3 linked regions of the Callithrix jacchus genome follow. The protein of the gene in region 1 binds, or shares a complex with, the protein of each later gene. Links are inferred from orthologs where the notes say so. Each region holds a gene or a part of one and is shown on either strand. Other genes may lie near its edges. The genes, in order: TAF3, TAF9 and TBP.

Region 1 (5,333 bases):
ATGAACTGTGCTGAATGCTAAATGCACTGCTCAGAGCCCCTCAGGCCCGAAGGACTTCAGCTGTCCTTGGACTTGAATGGGCTCAGCTGCAGGCAGTTCCTTTGCCTACTTTCCCAGGCAGCCCTCATGCAGTGGCCTGTTTCCTATGTGAATAGAAAGGTCCAGCCTTCTTGTTTGGATTCAGGGAAGCTCTGAGGGTCCACTCCAGCTTGAGTGCCCTACGGGATTGGCTTGGCCGAGGCTTCCCTTGCCCAGGCACTCACTGCACCTTGCTTTCACTCCTCCCCCCAGGTCCCAGGAGGACTCCTCAATGAACTTTCTGCAGGCTCATCTCTATTTCGGAGTTGACTTCCTGGGAACCAAGCCTGTGACACATGATCATGTGTGTAGATATGTGAGGGAATGTTCTTGTTTTGGGGTGATCCAAGTTGAGGTGTGGTGAGGTTAAATGTTATGAAGTTTGCAGCTTACTTTCGAACTGCTGGAAAAAAACTTGTGTGCATATATAAAGACACAAGATAGAGTAAATGTGGCAAAATGTTAACAATTGGCGAATCTAGATGAAGTGTATACCTGAGTCTGTGATTTTGTTTCAACTTCTCTGTAGGTTTGAAATTTTTGGAAATAAAATCCCCTCCCCTATACACAGAAAGGCAAGTGAAGAGGAACAAACATCCAGGTGGTGGTGGCAGAGAGACAGATGTGTGAAATCCAAGGCCCAAAAGAGTTTGAAAGTTATGGTAGTGTTCAACATTATCAAATGGCTACAAAATAATCAAGTAAGGCTAGGACTGAAAAATGTCTCACAGATTTAGCAACAAAATGTTGCTGATAACTTGGGGACAGAGTGTCCATGAAGTAAATACGGGCACCTTGCCATATAGTACCTTGCTTCTCTGCAGATCGCCATTTAACTGAAGAACCATAATTTCACTCCTACTGCGTTTCCCAGACTTTCGAAAATTTGAGTATCATGTTCAAAGTTCTGGAATAGTCCCTGGAGGAGGAACATAGAGCCACTGATAAACTCTTATACTAAATACACTGTGATAGGTACAGAAAGGCATATTTAAGAAACCACATAGTTCAGCCACTACAATCGAGCTATCGGCAGGCTGAATCTAGACTTGCGGTGGGATCAGTTTGGTTTTTGAGATGTGTTCCCAATTCTGAATTTAAAAGTCAAGGTATTTATCCCCAAATCCCGATTTCTGGCAATATTTGGCTGGAGCTGGGAGGAGGCTCTGGGATAGGCAACCGTTCCCAGGACACTCAGCCTGAGATACGGGTTTGAGGCTCTGGTTTGACCTCTGGAGGTAGCCGAGGTCCCCATCCCCCTACAGGCCACAGCCGCGATACGCAAATCGCACACTACAGCCCACAGGGAGCTCACCTGGTTTGAAAAAAAAAAACGTTTTATTGCAACCATGGCTGGGATTAGAATGACATGAGTGAGGCAGGAGTTTATGGCATGGGTTTGGATTTTTAAAAAAACTATTAAAATATTATCCATCTTGATGACTGAGTTTTCTGGGGGGCCCATTAATTTGGCACAGAGGCCTCCTCCTAGTCCCCGCCCTACTGCGAAGGGCTTTAAAGGGCATGCGGAACAGCTTGGGCTTTATTTAATCTGTGCAGTGGCAAGCAGCTCAGTACACAGATTTTTAGCAGAAGTAAGACCAGCGCAGGTCTGCGTTTGGCGAGCATCTTAAATTCCCACGCCCCAAACTTCTCTCTAGCACTTAACCCTCTAACATGACTAACGTTATTAATGCTAACTCTCTAACATGTCAATGTCGTATCCCAGATCCCTCGTTTGCCCCTAAAACACGGGCGTTTTTGTCCCCGCTCTCCCCCCAGGTGAGCGCCCCTGGGAAGCACCCCAGCACCTGTCACCCATGGCGCCTCCTCCACCTGCGCTCCGCAATCCCGCTTCCGGCCGGCTTCCAGGCCTCAGAGACGATCCCGAGGCGTCGCTCCGCTCCCACGGGGCGGAGCTTTCTCATCGGCGCGCTCGGCATTCGGCTCGTGCTGCCTCGCTCCGGCGGCCGTCCAGCGAGAGGCGGAGCGAGTCCAAAATGGCGGCTCTCAGGCTGGCGCGCTCCGCGCTGCTGGGGCTTTGAGGTGGTCGCCGGGGGTCCGTGGGACCATTATCCCGCCGCCGAAGCCCTAGAGGATGAATCGGGGGCCCTGCTAAGGTCTGGCGGCGGGGCTGGAGAGCAGTGGCAGCAAGGGCTGCGGTGGCGTCCACGCAGCGGGATGTGCGAGAGTTACTCCAGGTCGTTGTTGAGGGTCTCGGTGGCGCAGATCTGCCAGGCGCTGGGCTGGGACTCGGTGCAGCTCAGCGCCTGCCACCTCCTCACGGACGTGCTGCAGCGCTATCTGCAGCAGCTGGGCCGGGGCTGCCATCGGTACTCTGAGCTCTGTGAGTACCGGGCTGGGTTCGGGAGGGCTGCCCCGGCAAGTCAAGGGTGACACCTCCGCTCTCCCTGCCCCTCCGCGTCTCCGGTGTGTGCGTCCCGCACCCTGCCTCGAGATCTGCTGTCTCCTCGGCCTCCCACGTCCCTGGGCTTCCACTGACCCTGCAAACTCTAGTCATCCCTGGGGTGCCTCTTCCTCATCCGCTAACTTCCCGCCACCAGCCCGGGAGCCGAGTCTTCGCTCCCAGCTCCACACCCTCCTGCAGCTCCTCCGCTCTGAAATGTGCCTGGATCTCTCTCATTGTCTCCTGTTTGCTGCGGGCAGATCCACCCCCAGCGTGCCTTACACCCTCTTTTACCTCGGTCCTTTTTCTCCCTTGCCCGCAAACTACTACAACTAGTTGTCACAGGCGCTCCGTCTACCGGCCGTTTCTTACAAGACTGGCCATTCCTGAGCTCCTAACTACACAGACTCGTTGACAGCTCTGCTCCGTTAGGGACACTGCCTCTTCTTTCTGTGTCTGTTCGTTTCGTGAACAACATCTCCACTTTCTGTTTTCCCAAGGCTGACTTTGTCAGTTTCGCTGATCAGATGCACTTTCACTTAACGTCTCAGTTACCGGTGAGATGTCAGTGGTTATCAAAGCGGGATAGAGGGACCATGGGCAGTTGGCGAGATTCTCCAGGTAATCTGGGCTACAGTACTACTTAAAACCTGTACAGTACAGTACGGGTTTTAAGTGAATGTCTGGTAATATCTATAGCTAGTGGTATTTAATAATTTAATGGAAGAAATGGTATTTTAATAGAAGCTACACGTTATCTTGTTGATGTGAAGCATTGCATGTGTGTTTGTTGAGGAGAGGAAACTACCACTCACTGAAGTTTCAAGTCATGATGTTTAAGGTGATAAGCTGGAGAACTGAATGAAGTGTTTCATAGGATACTTTGTTTTGTTAAAGTGGTTCCTAGACTGAAAAATGGAGACCCACAGACATGTTGTATCGCTTAGGCCCCGAGTTTCATTCCTGCTTCCACAGGGCTGCCAAAATAATCTGTCCACAACACAAATCTGATTTTGTCATTATTCTTAAAAACATTTTAACTGTATTCTATTGGTTACAGGCTAAAAATCTAAACTGTTAACAGCACACATTTCCCTTTGTGAGCTAGCATCTTGCTTATCTTTTGCCAGCCTGCCATGCTAATCTGGAGCCATGCTGAGCTACTTGCCTTTTCCAGAATGTTTTAGGCTATCCATTTCTACGTGCATGCTGTTTTCTACTTAGAGTGTCCTTTGCCCTGGCCCAGTAGTACTGCTTTTATTTTGAGATGTACTTATCACTTGCTCTAGGGACCTCATGTTATCTGCTTTCATAATTCTGTGCATATTTCTTTCATTTGTCATCTTGTTTTGTAATCACCTGTGTATGTCTCTTTCACCTCTCAGGAGAAAAATTGATTATATTTGTATTCTGTAACCTGTGGGGCCATTCTATAATAGCTACCTGAGAAATATTTGTTGAGTGAATGAATGAACTGATAAACCACTACCATAAGAGCCACATATTGACTTCACATTTTGAGTTCCAAAAATGTGTATGCTTTGAGTGCTTGATTTCACTGAGACTTCTATTCTTCTTCTTTTGAGACAGGATCTCACTCTGTCCCCCAGCGTGGAGTGCAGTGGTGCGATCTTAGCTCTCTATGGCCTCGAACTTCGGGGCTCAAGTGATCCTCCTGCCTCAGCCTTCCAAGTAGCTGGGACCACAGGGACATGCCTCCATGCCCAGCTAATTTTTTTATTTTTTGTAGATATGTGGTCTGGTTATATTGCCCAGGCTGGTGTCAAACTCCTCAGCTCAAGTGATCCTCCTGCCTCAGTGTGTCAAAGTGCTTGGATTACAGGCCTGAACCATGCCTAACTCACTGATACATATAAATTTGGAACTGCAAAGTAATATGCATGCATTTTTATCTTGAAAGTACATCAGCAGCTGACTACTCTCCTAGCTTTTGTTTCTTTTTCCTCTGGCCTGCTCTGCCATGGTCCTTGAGTGTACTGTTAACTGATAGGCTGGGCGAGGCGTAGTTCAGATTATGTTTGCTACCAAGTTCTCTACATAGGGACAGATGTTCTGTATCTTTAGACATTCAAAATGTCTCCTGAATACAGAGTTACCTTTCTTGCCTTTTATACAGAAGGGAGCTGGCACTCCATGTGACTAAGTATTCCATAGTCATCAAGGGGTCATTGCAGCTCTTCATTGTAAACCTTGTTCCTAATTACCTAATTTCCGTAGCCAGTTTCTTGGTTTCAGTGAGAATGAGATTGTCAACTTCATTATTCCCCATGATGATTTGGTGACTTTTTTTTGAATGCTAATTTTGGTATACTTATTAGATATTTTTAGATTCGTTTTTCTATACCAGCCTTATTCTAAAATCAAATTCTATAGCTCCAGGTTACCACTATGCAGTTTTGTATTCTACTCCTTTACGTCCTTTCTGTCGTTTTAACAAACACTTACTGAGCACCACTTAGGAACCAACCCCTGTGCTAGGCATTGGAGACATAAAATTACTGAGATGCAGTCCCTGCCCGTAAGGTGTGTTCAAGAGTGCCAGAATGTCAGTAAAAACAAACTGATGTGGCTGTTTCTGCTAGAAGAAATGTTCACGAGTGAAAGCAAGTATTAGAAGTTACCATTAATTCAACAATAATGAACTTTAGACTTGCCCTAAGGTAACAGTTTCTCCCAGCATTCAGGGGCGGATGTCTCTGTCTGTGTCACATTGCGTGTTAGACACGTGCGCATGCACTGAAAGCAGCTGCTCAGTCTTTCAGACTGGCTGTTCAACACTAGTGCCGTCATAGTTTTTGCATGGTACAGGGAGTAAATGTAAGAGGAG
Region 2 (5,133 bases), on another chromosome or scaffold:
TATTACCAGATTTGCATAAACCACTAATTACAATAGATACTGGGCTCTATTACTTTGATAGCAGTAATAAGTTATTAAGAATGTATATAAAAATTTATAGTTATTTTAAGGCAATTATTTCACGGCCATTCTAGTGTATCATACCTTTGTGGAAGATACCTTTGGTCTAAGAAAAGTTTTTGACATTATAAACTGTAACAGTTCCCATCCGTAGTATAGGACCAGTAATACATTAAACTCTAATTCACCTAGGGGAAAAAAAAAGAAGCCCTCAAATGAAAAAGAACTGTAAATACAGAATTATAGTTATAAATGTATACTGATACAATCAACAACACAATAAAGGCTCAATAATTAGTGAAAACAGTCAATTTAAGTGATACAGGAAATCAAAATTCTAAAATAATTTTACTTTTAATGACTATAACTGGATAAATAAACTACTTGTGGTGTTACAAACGGAGTTTTTCACATGAACTCAATGACGTATTTGAGAAAAACAGAAAAAAAAAATTCACAAACTGTTCTACTTACCTTTTGTCATTAAAATCAGGCAATTCTATTTGAGTAGTTTATATACTGAAAATTAAAGTTTTCCTTATTTCAAATTACAGTTGCAGTTCTTCATTTCCAACATTTCCCAAAAAATAAAATACAATGAATTCACTTGCTGTGGACAAAGAATTTAAATCTTACTGTAAAACTGTTTTCATTTGATCATGTTATTAGAAAATTTCTTAGTAACACTGTTTTTCAATTGTGTTTTCAAATTCTTAAACCTTTATGCAAACTAGTGAATTCAACAATTTTAAGTTAGCCAGAAGAGAATTTTAATGCCTACAAATTTATACACTGGAAAGTATACTGAACTATTTTACAGTTTGGAGCACACATCGCCTATAAACACCCCTACGTACTAGAAAACAAATTGCTGGCCTTTCGTCCCAAATCGTTCACGGTTAGACTTTGACGTTTCAAATGGTACACAGTTGGTAAAAAAACAAACAAAACATTTGAGTAAATATAGTTTGTAGCTCGAAATAAAAGATGCAGACTGTTGTCACCGTCAGGACTCTATTCACTCTTTGAAAACAAGATTGACAATTACCTCCTTTTAAAAGCAGGTAACTGTCCCTGAAGATGCCAGATTCCTGAAATGAGATGTCAGAGGTAGACCTTCAAGACTATTCCTAGCCGACCCACCACCACCCCACACAGTGAACAGGGAATACTAAGGTCAAATATTCGTCCAACGTAATCCTGTAATCAGTAGGGTGCCGGGTTGAGCTCGCAAATCCCCGCTGCAGGACTGGGCTCTGCACCCTCAATCTTCTCATCCCCAGATGGGACGGGCGGGTCAGGAGGAGGAGCGACGAGAGCCCAAGAAGGCTTGAAGGCAAAGATAGACTCGCGTCTCTAAGACATATACATATTATAGCGGCAGCCGCGGCGGCCTTACGTTCCCGGAGCTGCATTCCCTTTTCGGCGAAGAGCGGAGGCGAACAGGATCTACCCCGAGTGAAAGGGTAGCCACCTGGCCGTATCCGGGCCTCTCTGAGGTACGGCCTCCCGGGGACCTTTCAAAATGGTCGGCGCATCCGCGACGCAACCGAAGGGCGGGGCCCGCCGGAGTGTGTGACTTAGGCATCCAGCGCACTGCCTGACCCGAAGCACCGACCCGAGTTATGCCCACCCTTCAACTTTGCGATGGAAACGTGTTAGGGAAAGCTAGGTAACTAGTGGGCCGCAGCTGGGCCGCCGGGGCAGGCCGGGGACGCCGCGGTGGGCCTGGAGGTCCTTGGGGCCCGTGGGCTCTCACTGCCGCCCGCCCCTTCCGGCTCCTCCCCGTAGTGCAAAGGGCGCTTGAGCGAGGTGATCGGAGCAGTTGCAGCGAGGACCATGTTGCTTCCGAACATCCTGCTCACCGGTCAGGGCGCGCGGCCGGGAGGGGCTGGGAGGGGGCAGGCGAGGTTTGCGGAGTGCTCTGGGCCTCGGGCCCCGCTCAGTGTTCTGTTTGGAGGCCTCCCGAGGGCCGCGAGGCGGCTGCAGCGCCCCGGGAGCCGACCCTCACGGGCTTGGCAGGAGGTGGGGGAGGGGATGCGGAACGTTAATTCCGGTGGCCCGAGACTTCCGGGGGAGGAGGAGAGAGGTCGGCAGATCAGCTCTCCTGCTTGGCAGTCTGCTTAGTCTTTCTGAATCTGGTATTTTGTGTGTAAAATGGGTTGTTGATTCTTTGGCAGGGTTGGCTTTGGGATTTTTAGCGAAATAGTGTAAGGTCACATCTGTTCTCCAGTAGAGCCATTAATGGTGGAGGCCTCACTCCTTAGGCCTCCCTGGGCCATATTTTATTTTTTCCTTTGCTCCTCAGATCAGATTTCGGGAAATGACTTTAGATGTTTGTGGTGTGACTAAATTACTGTATGCCTTTGTTGAGTTACATCAGAGGTTCTCCCCAGCCCCTTAAAGGAGAGGAATCTAGTGAGCATTTCGGGTCGTTTCTCGCGTAGGAGTGGGTCTTTGAAGCCATACTCAGGGTGCGTGTTACCGGTGAAGGAACTAAAATGCTGCTGCGTAACGACTTCATCGAATATTTTAGTCCTTAAAGTGTTTATTAAATTGTAGACCATTCGTGGAAAAATCTAATGCATGTAGATTTTATTGGAACGTACCGAAAAATTAAGAGTCGGTGGAAATAAAGCAGTAAAGTTACAGCGTTCATCTAAACATAAGATGATTTGCAGCGCACAAGACATGTCTGTTTCTGAGAGGTGCCGATTAACCAGGCCACAAATAATGTTTAGCATTTAAGATTTCTTAAGTGGAAGATATCACATCTTTTTGCATGGATCAAACATAGTGCCTTGGTTATTAATATTGTGTCATTGTCAAAACTTTAAAGTGAGCATTTTATTGAAAACATAATTGAGTCCAGGGTTCAGACTTGGTGAATTATAGTGGACTTGAGGTAACTGTTAATCTCTTCCGTGTGGGAACTGGATTATCCCTGTTATCTTTATGCTCAAGTTTAATTTCAGGGATGTTAAACCTGAATAGCTGAAAATTACAAATTTGATCTTGAAGTGTAATTATAATAGGTATCAAAAGGGGAAGGTAAGAAGCAATGTATAGTATGTAGTATTGTCATTTATGTAAAAGGGAATATATGTTGTATTTATGTATGTATATACAAAGTATGTATATACATGTACATTCATATGCAACATAAATAGGGTTTCTCTGGGAAGATATACATGTATGGGAAACTGGTTCACAGTGGTTGTCTCTAGGGAAGGGTGCAAGGGGTAAGACTGCTTACATTTTAACATGAACAGTTTTTGTTTTTGTTTTGGGACAGTCTCATTATGTTGCCGGGGCTGGTCTCGAACTCCTGAGCTTAAGCAATCCCCCTGCCTTGGCCTCCCAAATTGCTGGGATTACAGGCATGAGCCACCACACCTGGCTATGAACAGTTTCTTAATCTATTTAAATTAAAGCAAATATGCCGGATGGGTGGCTCATGCCTGTAATCCCAGTACTTTGGGAGAGGGAGGTGGGCAGATTGCTTGAGCTCAGCCTAGGCAACATAGCGAAACCCCATCTACAAAAATTAACCAGGGCATGGTGGTACACACTATGGCCTCGTCAACTGGACATGCTGAGATGGGAGGATTGCTTGAGCCCGGGAGGTTAAGGCTGCAGTGAGCCAAGTGCCACTGCACTCCACCTGAGCAACAAAGAGATATCTTGTCTTTAAAAAAAAAAAGTAAATAAATGACTGTAATTGATTTGAGGTGGTTAATTTTATTCTGAACAGTTCCATGGTAGTAGCAGGCAGTTTGAATCTGCGACAGAATCTGCTGAGCCTCACCCTTGAAGGATCAATAACTGGGTAATATTTTGACATTCAGTTAGCTTTGGAAAATTTTTATTAGATCATAGACATATTGAGGTGGCTCATGCCTGTAATTCCAGCACTTTGGGAGGCTGAGGTGGGCGGATCACCTGAGGTCAGGAGTTCGAGACCAGCCTGGCCAATATGGGGAAACCTCGTCTCTAAAAATTCAAAGATTATTAGCTGGGTGTGGTGGCAGATGCCTGTAATTCCAGCCACTCAGGAGACTGAGGCAGGAGAATCACTTGAATCTGGGAGGTGGAGGTTGCAGTGAGTTGAGATTTTGCCACTGCATTCCAGCCTGGGTGACAAGAAGGAAACTCCATCTCAAAAAAAAAAACTTACATATGATTGCTAATTAGAAGATTTTTCATTTCATTCATTGAGAACCTTAAGGGCAGAGACCAGGGGAGACTCTGTCTCAAAAAAAAAAAAAAAAAAAAAGGGCAGAAGGTGGGCTACAGTGTGATGAGTAGTATTTCACAAACAATATTTTTCTGTGGCTTATCTTACAGGTACACCAGGGGTTGGAAAAACCACACTAGGCAAAGAACTTGCATCAAAATCAGGACTGAAATACATTAATGTGGGTGATTTAGCTCGAGAAGGTAAGGGACACTTTGATGTTAGATTTATTATTATTATTTTTTAAAGTCTGATAGCGGAGTGTTAGTGCTAGGTATTGTCAGAGGGTACAAAAAACAGCTTGCCATTAAAGAATATATACTCTTAGGTAATCCACAGAAATATTAAGTGTCTAATGCTATGTCCTGGTTATTTTGACCATTTTCCCTTCTGTCTTCAAAATGGCTAGCAATTCTTGTGAATTGTTGGGAAGGCTCCTATGAAGAGACTGGATTTAGGATAGGTAGAATGTGAATAAGGAGAATGTTTTTAAGTTGAGCAAACAAAGGTTTGGTACTGCTAAACATGTATATGAGCACAGTGAGTGTATTGGTCTCACTGGAAGGAGATTATTTTGAGTTCAGGCATAGGACATGACTATGCTATCTTAGATTAGTTTGAGATTTGCATGCAACTGCATATATTGTAAGATGATAGATGTTATTTATTTTACCCTGTTTTCCCCTAATCTTTTATTGCTCCCTTATTTGTGTCTTCATCTTTTTATAGTCAATGATGATTTGTACATGGTAGGAACTCCATAAATTTAAGTAAAGGGACTTAAAGTATGCCTCATTAAAATTGAGAAAACATAGTTTGATTTTTTTAAAATTTTT
Region 3 (5,182 bases), on another chromosome or scaffold:
ACACCTGACTAATTTTTGAATATTTAGTAAAGATGGGGTATCAACAGGCTGGTCTCGAACTCCTGACCTCAGGTGATCTGCCCACCTTGGCCTCCCCAAAGTGCTGGAATTACAGGCGTGAGCCACCACTCCTAGCCAGAAAAATTATTAAAGTAGATGGGTGGTTGAGAGCTTGAAATGTAAAAAGGGAAAAATAAAACTAGAAAATAATTTGATGACGGTGATTTTCAAAATCAAAGAACCTATATAATCATTTGGAACATTCTCATAAGTGTTTACCAAAAGATTAATGTTTTATTAACAAATATTTAATTTAGCTTCCAAACAGACTCCCCAAATAAAACACTATTGTGCCAATTCAAAGCCTAATAGAAAGTTTCAACAAAATAAGGCTTAAAAATATATATAAAATCATTTTCAAAAACAGATCATTAAATACCCTTCCTTCCCTTTGATACCATCTCTTGAAGTACATATTTCTGCCCTCCCTGTTCTCATTCTCTTCCTCCTGCTGTATTACCTGAGGGGAGGCCAAGCCCTGAGCGTAAGGTGGCAGGCTGTTGTTCTGATCCATGATGTTCACTTCCTTCTTGGCAAACCAGAAACCCTTGGGCTGGAACTTGTCTCACCATTCAATTTTTTCCTAGCGCATCTCCAGCACACTCTTCTCAGCAACTTCCTCAATTCCTTGGGTTATCTTCACACACCAAGAGACAGTGATGCTGCTTTGGAAAAAAGCCTGAAGTTTAATGTAAGGATTCAGGTAACCTGTACAGTCCTATAAGCCAGTTCCATGGCTATACAAAACACAAACAAGAAAACCAATGAAGCTATTTTGGAATACATTGCCTTTTGCTTTATAATCCTGAAGTCTTATTCCTTCCATGTTTCCTGTGATTACATGTAAAATCGCCAACAAAAGTCATTTTGTTACGCATTTAAATACTATGATGATGCATCAAAAACTTTTGAGGAAAAATACTGAGAGGAAACTAATTCCTAAGCAAACTGTAATATCACAGCAGAGTATTCGTTAAGCACTGTATATACAGCACAGTTAAGCAAAGTTCAGATCTTTATTCCAATTTTATATCCTCTATAATGTCTTGGGCAAAAAATTAAGTAAATATACTTCAGTGATCAGTTATTGAGCTCCTACTATAATAAAACTAAAAAAAAAAGCTGCACAAAGATAAAACCCTGCATTTTTGTAAATAATAACCTTACCTCTTTAGAACACATTAATGCAAACCGTGCCTGTTATCTGGCTTTTCTTAAATCATCATCTCTTTACTCATGTCCATATCTGAAATGAGTTTATAATAACAACATATTCTCACCCAGAACTTCAGGTCTCAAAGTTACAAATTATATGTCCAAAGACCCTTCAGGCATATGCACTTCAAGCATGTGCTGGTACACAATAGACACTCAGATATTTGTGAAGGAATGAAAGATTCTGAGGATCGCTTTGAAAGGGCTAAGGCCCCCAGACTCTGTATCCTACCTACTCATCACTGAAAAAATGGCCAAAAAAGAAAGCAAGCGAACTCTGCTTCTGAAAATAAAAATATCAGAGATGTTTTTAAAATTATACTTTTTGACAGTTACCGTATAATAACAATAACAGAAGTGATGCAGATGAGGATGTAAAGATTAGGAGGTTATAGTCCTTGGCATCAAAATGTTCAATATAAAGGGTATGCAAATCATTACTATAAAACATAGTATAATAGCAGGTGTGCCCTAAGCTAAGTTTCTTTTTTTTTTTTTTTTTTTTTTTTTGAGACGGAGTTTCGCTCTTGTTACCCAGGCTGGAGTGCAATGGCACGATCTCGGCTCACCGCAACCTCCGCCTCCTGGGTTCAGGCAATTCTTCTGCCTCAGCCTCCTGAGTAGCTGGGATTACAGACACACGCCACCACGCCCAACTAACTTTTTGTATTTTTAGTAGAGACGGGGTTTCACCATGTTGACCAGGATGGTCTCGATCTCTTGACCTCGTGATTCACCCGCCTCGGCCTCCCAAAGTGCTGGGATTACAGGCGTGAGCCACCGCGCCCGGCCAGCTAAGTTTCTTGAATGTAGAAACCAGTCTTTGTCATCCCTGCATCTAGCACTATGCCTGGAATACAGTATGTGATCATGAATAAGTGCATATATGCCCCTGGAAGAGAAGACATATAGACTAACAGCACACTACTATGAAGAGGGGCAGTGTTTTCACAAAACAAGGACCATCTAACTTGGGTCTCACAAGGTGAATAGGAATTTACAGGTCAGGGCTTCAGATAAACGAGGTAACATTGAAAAAGCATGCCGTATGAAGGTGACAAGCTTAGTATGACTGTATAGGTCACTACAGGAGATGAGACGGCAAATATTGGTAGGCTCTTATCACTTTTTGCACGTAAGTCTACAGAAGAAACCGCACAGTGGTTACTGCACTTTCTCCCTAGAAAAGGGTTGTTTGCTGGGTCTCTTCATCTCTTCGAAATTGAAACATCAAATTCGATATTTTTTGGAGGCAATCTAACTCTGCATAGCCTTCTAGTGTCTGTATATCTAAATGAAGCATAGTCTTTTCACAGAAAAGCCTACCTAGAGATTTGGAAAACCATGATGGCCTGAACCGAGAGATGGGAGGCCCTGTAAACAAAGTGATGTGTACTGTATCTTAAGCGCTACTGTGTCCGCTGTCTCAGGCTTCTGACAAAGTATTTAAGTCTCAATGTTGGTAGCAAAATAGGCGGGCACAGACCACAGTGAATCTGCCTTCAAACATGGAGAAGAAGCGGGTGGCAGGCCAGGGCAGAATAAACTTCGGGTCTTCGATGCAAGGGATTGCCCTGTCCCGCCCGCCGCCGCCGAGCCCGCCAGTACCCTGCGCCCCACGCTCGTATGACGGGAAGCCGCTTGCGAACCACAGCGGAATAGGGCACCAGGCGAAAGCGGCGGCCGAGTGGCCGTTACAGGCCGGAACGGCGGCAGCACGAGCGGGAGGAACGTCCCCTGCAGGGCCTGCGCGCGCCAATTCCTTGTCTCTTCCCCACCATCGCCCCCAGGCCTCAATGCAGTGGTCGCCTCCGCCCGAACCCTCAGAAAAGAGGACAAGCTGTTACCTGGGTCACTGCAGAAATTACTATGAGCCCGCGGAAACGAAGTTAAACAGCCGGCGGCCCAGGCGCCCGCCACAGGAACCCTGCCCGACCCCACTGAACTCCAGGCGCGCGTTGATAATGTCACTTCCGCCAGTTCTGCCCTCGGCTTCAGCGAATTGTTCTCACTGGGGTCGTGGCCATGCGAAGTGTGGGCACTTGCTCACTTCCTGTGTTTCCGTAGGCGTGTAGTTTAAGGGAAGGAGGGGCGAAGCTCTTGAGGAGTTCCGGGACTGGGCGGGCGCACCACCGCTGTCTCTAATTGGCCCTTGCTGGGCATAGGAAAGATCAATTTTTAAATGGTGTGTGTGTTTCAAGCAACTAGAGGCGTTACCGTTGGCAAGTTCCCTGACTTCTTCCCCGCAGTTTCTTCTGTAAAATTTAATAATGATGATACTAGTGCTTAACTTTGGGCTCTCTGGAGACTGACAGTCAATGCCTGAGCAGTGCCTGGCACTCAGTAAGCGCGTGCTCCTTACCTGTCAGCAACAACGCTAGCTGATCTTCAAGCGTGTAGAATGACTAGGAACACTAAGCAAAACACAAGCCGCTTCAGGCACTGTGGTCAAAGGCTCGATCCGCAGTTGTTTCCTAGTGGGACGTCAGCACGCCTTTATTTTACCTTCTATAGTTCGTTTTGGCGGAATCATATATTATACCGCTTGTTTCCTTTGGACTTTCTATTATCAGTGAGGTTGTGAGCTCTTTAAGGATAGGAAATGTTACATACATTTTGTATTAGCCAGGACAATTTAGGCTGTTACTATTATTCCAGTTGCCGTTGCTCCACAGTTTTGGCAAATTTTTGCACGGTCAGACTTTTAAAATTTTGTCCATATGGGTGAATTCCAATCTTTTCTTCGGGGGAAAAACAAAAAACAAAAACCTTAATATCTTTCTGGTAATGGGCAGGACCCAACTATGAAAGGGACTAGCGGCAGAGCAGCCCTCCAGGAGCAACGACTAGTGCGAGATAGAGAGGCCGGGAGCGAGTTACAGGAAAGCCGGAAGTGGCGTAACGTCCGGTCAGGGCGGCCATCTCGCCGTGAGGCAGCAGGAGTAGCGGCCGGAGTTGCGGGCGCTTCAGTGAGATGTTGTCCTCTACAGCCATGTATTCGGGTCCTGGCAGAGAGCTGGGAATGGAGCCGCACAGAGCTGCGGGACCTCTGCAGCTACGATTTTCGCCCTACGCTTTCAACGGAGGGTAAAAACCCTTGAGAGCCGCAGCTTTCACTTTCGCCCTCCCCCCATCTGCTGAAGCCTATTTGGGGGTCACCGCCGCGAAGGCGCTGCCCAGATCCCCTGCAGGCCTCAGAACCCTGAGCTGAGTGGGTCCGCACAAGGCCGGTCTTCCTGCCGTCCTCTCTTGCGCTGTTTCCCCCTTTAGGCTCGCTTTGCTCTGGTTTACTTGGTGATTGCGATACAGCCTCGGTTTTTAGGGTTTCCCATTACCGCCTGGTTGGCTGGGTCTGTGCGGACCGCCACTCCATGCTCCTTGCTGCTGTAAGACGGTCGACAGCTTCCGCCCATATGGAAGACCTTTAAAACTATCTTAGCTTTTCGCAGAGTCTGAACACGTTTCTTAAGCCAGCAGGCGAGGACAGAGGTCTAGCGTCTGAAACTAAAAAGTTAGGATTGTTTGGTCTGTGTTGTTAGATGCATAGTTGTGTCGGTAGGGAACGTCTCATTGTAGCTGCCTGACTTCCGTTATCTCTAATTGTGCAGTTTAGTCATTGTCTTTTATTTCAAATAGAAGGTGGGATTGATTGAGCAAACAATTTCGTAGATAAGTGCTTTTTTTTTTTTTAACGTTCGGCTTAAGTTCAGGAAAAAAAAAATAGAAGATGGACCTTGTAATATGTGGGTTCTTGCATGTTCAAGTTTGGTTTTTATTTTAATTACCAGCTTTATTTTGAGTAATAAAATTTCCCGTGGTGGTACACCAGAGATTTAGAGTTACAGAAAGATGCTCTGTTTAAGAGTCTTGACAGGGAAGAGCTGTAAATTTAAGCAGTGGTTATAGT

Evidence for each region.
Region 2: TAF3 (region 1) and TAF9 share a complex: the UniProt entries of both Homo sapiens proteins name them as parts of the TFIID basal transcription factor complex. The link is inferred for Callithrix jacchus from reciprocal best matches to the Homo sapiens genes TAF3 and TAF9.
Region 3: TAF3 (region 1) and TBP share a complex: the UniProt entries of both Homo sapiens proteins name them as parts of the TFIID basal transcription factor complex. The link is inferred for Callithrix jacchus from reciprocal best matches to the Homo sapiens genes TAF3 and TBP.

The regions. Positions count from the first base shown.
Region 1 is NC_133508.1:6,117,755-6,123,087, reverse strand, and holds the start of TAF3 (transcription initiation factor TFIID subunit 3), read left to right. Parts: upstream 1-2,054; 5' UTR 2,055-2,259; coding exon 2,260-2,425; intron 2,426-2,918; exon of another isoform or gene 2,919-3,012; coding exon of another isoform or gene 3,013-3,106; intron 3,107-5,333. UniProt on the Homo sapiens protein: The TFIID basal transcription factor complex plays a major role in the initiation of RNA polymerase II (Pol II)-dependent transcription.
Region 2 is NC_133503.1:140,123,563-140,128,695, forward strand, and holds the start of TAF9 (transcription initiation factor TFIID subunit 9), read left to right. Parts: upstream 1-1,662; 5' UTR 1,663-1,732; exon of another isoform or gene 1,733-1,899; coding exon of another isoform or gene 1,900-2,149; intron 2,150-3,814; exon of another isoform or gene 3,815-3,889; intron 3,890-4,407; coding exon of another isoform or gene 4,408-4,500; intron 4,501-5,133. Other genes in the region: cell cycle checkpoint protein RAD17, read right to left, coding at 145-248, 535-544; AK6 (adenylate kinase isoenzyme 6), read left to right, coding at 1,900-2,149, 4,408-4,500. UniProt on the Homo sapiens protein: The TFIID basal transcription factor complex plays a major role in the initiation of RNA polymerase II (Pol II)-dependent transcription.
Region 3 is NC_133505.1:177,177,214-177,182,395, reverse strand, and holds the start of TBP (TATA-box-binding protein), read right to left. Parts: upstream 3,218-5,182; 5' UTR 3,123-3,217; intron 2,969-3,122; exon of another isoform or gene 2,602-2,968; intron 726-2,601; exon of another isoform or gene 723-725; 5' UTR 575-722; coding exon 521-574; intron 1-520. Other genes in the region: PSMB1 (proteasome subunit beta type-1), read left to right, coding at 4,250-4,362. UniProt on the Homo sapiens protein: The TFIID basal transcription factor complex plays a major role in the initiation of RNA polymerase II (Pol II)-dependent transcription.